Saccharomyces cerevisiae S288C: one gene and its partner. The protein of the gene in region 1 binds, or shares a complex with, the protein of each later gene. Each region holds a gene or a part of one and is shown on either strand. Other genes may lie near its edges.

What was found. The genes of interacting proteins can lie anywhere in the genome.
Region 2: CGI121 (region 1) and GON7 share a complex: the UniProt entries of both Saccharomyces cerevisiae proteins name them as parts of the EKC/KEOPS complex.

The regions. Positions count from the first base shown.
Region 1 is NC_001145.3:203,686-207,071, forward strand, and holds CGI121 (Cgi121p), read left to right. Parts: upstream 1-1,956; coding exon 1,957-2,412; intron 2,413-2,518; coding exon 2,519-2,608; downstream 2,609-3,386. Other genes in the region: YMD8 (Ymd8p), read right to left, coding at 1-418; LFT1 (Lft1p), read right to left, coding at 701-1,723; AMD1 (AMP deaminase), read right to left, coding at 2,743-3,386. UniProt on the Saccharomyces cerevisiae protein: Component of the EKC/KEOPS complex that is required for the formation of a threonylcarbamoyl group on adenosine at position 37 (t(6)A37) in tRNAs that read codons beginning with adenine.
Region 2 is NC_001142.9:81,835-84,319, forward strand, and holds GON7 (chromatin DNA-binding EKC/KEOPS complex subunit GON7), read left to right. Parts: upstream 1-1,613; coding exon 1,614-1,985; downstream 1,986-2,485. Other genes in the region: alpha-1,2-mannosyltransferase MNN5, read left to right, coding at 1-81; ATG36 (Atg36p), read right to left, coding at 261-1,142; MNN11 (alpha-1,6-mannosyltransferase), read left to right, coding at 2,234-2,485. UniProt on the Saccharomyces cerevisiae protein: Component of the EKC/KEOPS complex that is required for the formation of a threonylcarbamoyl group on adenosine at position 37 (t(6)A37) in tRNAs that read codons beginning with adenine.

The sequences.
Region 1 (3,386 bases):
AAAGTGCCAACTTCCAATGAAACTTTTCTAGCTTGAAGATACAGCCGAATAAAAGGACAAAAGCTATGCTCGAAGATTTGATAATTGTATAAATTGTCAAGGGAACATACTGGAAGGAAACGTTACTGAGCCCGATATCACCTGCAGAAGCGACTGCCGTAGGGAGTAAAAATTTTAGAAAAAAACTCCAGTTAAAACCATTATTCTTTCTTAAAACGTTTTTCACTGGCTTATGCCTGAGCTTAATGTATATGCCGGATAGTAACCATAAAGTAGCCTGATGGAATGTTGTCACCAACACGGGATACCCAATACCCAATCCGTCCTTCGGATCGAACATCCATCTATTGTATATGGAGAGAGCTATTGAACAGAAATACCATCCAAATACAAATGCCAAAAAGACAGTCCTATTCATAGCAAAATGTGACACGAGAATTGAAGGTATAAACACTCGCTGTAACAACTTCAAGTGATCGTGGAAGTGATGAAAATGCAGTTATGAGTATAATCAGGCCAATTGACACTTTAAAAAAACAGAACAACAGCTTCTCGTGATGCCACTATCCCTTATATTTCCAGTTCTAAGCCATCTCCTTCTCATTCTCGACAAAAAAAATGGGTGTGATTATTTTGCGCTTTATTTTTTGGCGTCTCGTCGCCGATGACTCTAATAGATGTTGAAGCCTACAAGCATCTATTATATTTTCTTCTTTGGTTGTAATGGGATGAATGAATCTAGAGTTAATGAAGGAGTGCTGGCAATGCTGGGCTCGCTGGATGGATGATAACTAGATTGTGCAGGTACCTGTTCAAATCCATCACCATCATCATGTTCACTGCATCCAGTGTTAGTAACTGCGGGCTCGTGTACTTTGGGTTCAGCTTGTTGATCACTCATACTCTCTTGCTTTGATTGGATGGTATTTTTATCACTGAAAGTTGTATCATCGTCAGGTGATAGGCCAGATTTTTGGCTTACCTCATCCTGAATTTCATTTTTGGCCTCTATAGGCTTTTCGGATTTCTTTTTTGAACCTGATTTAGAACCAGAATGGCCCCAAAATCCAAAAAAACTCTTCCTTTTCGACTTATTTTTCTTTGTCTTATCACCGTCTGATTTCTTCTTTTCTTTGGGCAATTCCTTAACAACGAATTTCTGTAGCGGGTCCACTTTGAAATCGGAATTAGCCCACGTAGAAGGTTTCTTGCCATCAGCTGTATGTGCCTCATTTCTCTCAAATCTTTCTTCCACCATCCAACTTTTGCTATTGGGCTTTATACACTTATCAATCTCAGCAGAAGCTCTATCAAATAACTGACTGGTAGTAGTAATTTTGGGCTTGTTGCTTCCTCTGCTCGGAGAGCCCTGCTTGAAGGTTGTATTTATAGTTTCTTGATGAGAAGTAGGTGCTACATTATGACTCCAGGAAAATAGAACTGGCCCATCCAGCTGTAAAGCGCCAGAATTCATAGTTATGGTTTTTTCCTCATCAATCCAATCTCTTTGTATTTGCCGACATTTCCCATCAAGTTTGTCGGTACTCAATTTATTCCCCATTTGCATAGGTGAATGAAACAAACAGTTCATCAACCGCCTACCGTTCGCTACTTCATCTAATAACCCATATAACGACACATCTCCATTTTTGGCTTGCTCGGAGTCATCTTGCGGTGTGTATTCCTTACTGAACAACTGGTCGATTATTTTGTTTTCGTCCATAATTTGTCCTTCCCAAAAAATAACCAGCTTAGATTCTGACAATGCTTGTTTCTTTAATTGATGATCTGTAATATTCGTTGATCATTAATACCATTGATTTCAATATTTCATGTTTAATCTTTTGCGCGAAAATTTCAATTGCAAACCAAAATATACATCAACAATCTTTTATCGGTCAACAAATTTGTCGATATAACCAAATATACGTCGTCGCTGCCCATTATACAATCATCATGGTAGTATCCATCATACCGCAATTTCCTGATATCAAGGTTTCACTAGCATTGTTTGAACAGGTTAAAAATGCTAAAGAAATACGCTCTAAAATGAGTGAATTGTCGACATCCTTTGCCTTTATTGACCCCCGGTTAGTCTGTTCGGGGGAGCAGATGTATTCTGCAATTTACAAGACCTTAATAGAAGTGAAATATAACAAGATGAGAACAAGAAATTTGAATTCCGAGTGCGTACTATGTCTTTCACCCACTTCCAATATTAGTGATGCTTTCCTCAAATTCGGAATCAAAGACGATTCGTCACAGTTAATATGCCTTAAGTTCCATACTAATACTGACGATGTAGACAAAGAGCAATTGAGGACGATTATGACTTCTATAGTAAAAGGACAAGAGATCGAGTTTAATGATGACAATTTATCGAGATTTTATGACGAAGCGCTCATAAGAAAAGTATGTTTTAATAATAAATTCGAGGTAAAAACTTCAACAGCCTCACCAGAAACACATTGTACTAACTTCACCTTTGTTTTCCTTTTATTTTGTTTTTACCTATTAGATCTATAAATTAAGTGATGATTTCAAGCCCCAAGACGTAAATGGTCTCTCAAGAGCTTTGGTAGACGCTATTCAATTGAGGGGTGTGTAGATAAGAGATATCTAACGATAAAATTATAAAAAAAATTCTTTGATTATTTTTCAGATTAGTATTATTTGTTCTCCGTGAAGTCAGTGTATCGAACTGCCAAAAGTTCTCCTTATATACATGTGCGCGTATAACCATCACTTTTCTTCAATGGTTCTCTTGAAATTGGCAAAATGATTAACTAATTCCAGTTCAGTTGATAATGTATCGTATCTGTAGTTAATTCTAATATCAGGAACATTTGTTCTAACCACATCGTTACCTTCAACACCACTCTTGTCAAAATCTTTCCCTATCCAATGTTTTTTGATTTGTGCTTCCCACCCACTTTGCAACACGGAATTTCTTGCCAATTCACACATATCTACATTAGACAATTTATAAATTTGTGCTGCAACTGAGTATTCTTCGATTAATGGTTCTCTGGTATATGAGAATTGTAAAGGATCATCTGTGGATAGTGAGACATTCAAACCTCTTTTAAAGTATCTCGGAAATGGGTTTTTATCATAGGTCAAAAATAATGCGTTATTAGAAAGGGGTGACATTGCGATACCAACCTGATCTAAATAGTATAAGTATTGAACAAATGGAACTTTCCTCAATAAAATACCATGTGATATACCATGTGCCAATAGATATGCTGAAACGAGATGCTCGGGGTCACCGGCTTCACCACAATGTGGTCTCAAAACCAAAGTGTTAAACCCTCTCTTAGCCCTCCATTGATTCAAAGACGCGACATTTGAATACAAATAGTACAGGTAATAGGAATAAGGAG
Region 2 (2,485 bases), on another chromosome or scaffold:
GATGCAATGTGTGAGTATTTGACCAATCATGTTAATTATCTGGAGAGCACACACAAAGAAGCTATGGGGGAGAAAAACTAATGAAGTGATTAACTATAATAATTTAATAATAACTCGCCATCCGACCTTGTATAATATAATGTAGCATATATGTGCACGGATATATATACATCTTAGAAAAAAATGAAAAAATGAAACCAAGAAAAAACTAACTGATGGTGTTCGGACAACGTTTTAGAATGAGGGTATCTAACTTTCTTCTACCATTCTCTGTCCAAAAACCTAGAAAGTAAAGTCCAGCCAAACCAAGATGTGTTTTCCAACGACGAAGACGCTGCGCTTGGTGAACGGTTTAATGTTTCTCCAGTGCTCTCATCTGTAAATCGTGACCGCGATGACGAATCTATATCTACGTCTGACAACCTGTCGAATTCAAGAGGCATCGAGTAGTAATTGAAAATAAAGTCACGCTGGGGGAAAAAAGATGGTATATCGTCAAATATTCTTTCATGATGGTATGTCAATAATTGCCGGCGAGTTTTCTCGCGGTAGCATGTTCTTAGAATTGGATACAAGTCTCTTGATAGTTTCTGCACAGCAATTCTTTGGGCATTTGTAAGTTTCTTTAATTTCGCAGAGGTATAAAGTTCTCTTTCCTTAAAGGAATAAACGGGAAATCCATGATTGACACCGTCGCTTGATTGAGGGACATTTTGATGCAGCTCATTAAATAAATGGCTGCCCAAACACCACTCATCGATCCGGTCAGAGTTACTAGACGATCGAATGTTACGAAGAGCGGGCGCCGGCTGCTCTGAGGGCGGAGAATTTTTATTGCTGTCACTGGATATCGACAGTATAGCAATTTCGTCAGAAGGAACTTCGAAGGCACTACTTGCAGATTCCAGTGTCTCATCGCGACTAATGGCAGTATTTGTACATTCTGGAGATAAATCTGGGTTATTGATAACCCTTACATCATTGAATGACTTTAATCTATGGAAGTCTAGCTCAAATTCCTCTTCTGAGAGTTCCAGGACTTCAAATAGCGATTCTTCATCGTGAATGCCGTTATTAATTCTGGGTTGAATGCGAGCAGACCTTGACCCGCAATCAACCTGGTAATTGTTCACAGATGCCATTAATGAGCTGTACTGACCACCAAATTTTAGTATTTTAAGCCCTGAATACAACCTTTGCTCCTTGTCGACATTCGTAAGTATATAGAAATCTATCCCTTCAAAAGATTTGTATTATTCGGGATTACGCTACAGCCGCACGTAGATCGTACGTGTATAACGATGTTTATCTTGGTGAAAGTATCTTAACGCGAATGCTCTAGTGATGGCACAATAGAATAGTGTCTTAGCACCACAGAGCGTGATTTTTTAAAGCTCTATATTAGCAACTACGATAGGTGTTTATTTAGTTTCTTTGTTGATCTTCCTGTTTCCAGTGTTACGGCCTTGTCAGGTCAAAAATTTTACCCGGATCTCTAGTAATGAGTAACTTAAGAATATCCCATCTGATTATTGGTAGTTTTACTGAACCAAGTTAGAGCTAAATAAATATATACAGCCGATAGTGCACTGGAACCTTATCCTAATATCTCAATGAAACTACCGGTAGCACAGTACAGTGCACCAGATGGTGTGGAAAAAAGTTTTGCACCAATACGCGATGACCCTCGATACATGACCACAGAGGGAAGGACAACTGGGCCCAGTGACCATGTGCTAAACGCTGGCCAAATCGATAGAGACAAACCTTCAGAACCGGAACGCACGAAAGATGGCTCACAACTGACATACTTAGGCCAGCTGCGCACGCAGCTGACGGGGCTACAGGACGATATTAACGAGTTTTTGACAGGAAGAATGGAATTGGCAAAAAATAAGAAGAAAGCCGGCGCAGACGAGAAGCGGATCCAGGAAGAGATTAACCAGCTATTAGATGGTGGTGACGGTGACGAAGATGCTGTTTAGGCAACGATATGTAGCGCTAGAGAGTGTATATACAAACAGAAAAGAGTCTAATGATAAATGACAAATATTTCGTTACAAGTGATAATTGTTGAACTAGGAAGAGTTGATATAAAAAAATAATAAACACACGATGGGATACAGTTAAGAAGGATTGATCGACTCCTAAATGATGCGAAGAAAGCCAATTTTCAACTTGGAATCATCCTGCCGGTTTGTTGTTGGTGTTAGCTGTGTTAGGACTCGTTAAAATGGCAATCAAACCAAGAACGAAGGGCAAAACGTACTCCTCAAGATCGGTGGGTTCGCAGTGGTTCAACAGGCTTGGTTTCAAGCAGAACAAGTACGGAACTTGTAAATTTTTGTCGATAATAACGGCCTTTGTTTTTATCCTCTATTTCTTCTCCAATCGCTTCTATCCAATTTCTCGTTCCGCCGGTGCATCATATTCTCCATCCCATGGGCTGTATATTAACGAAATTCCTGCCTCCAGCCGGTTGATT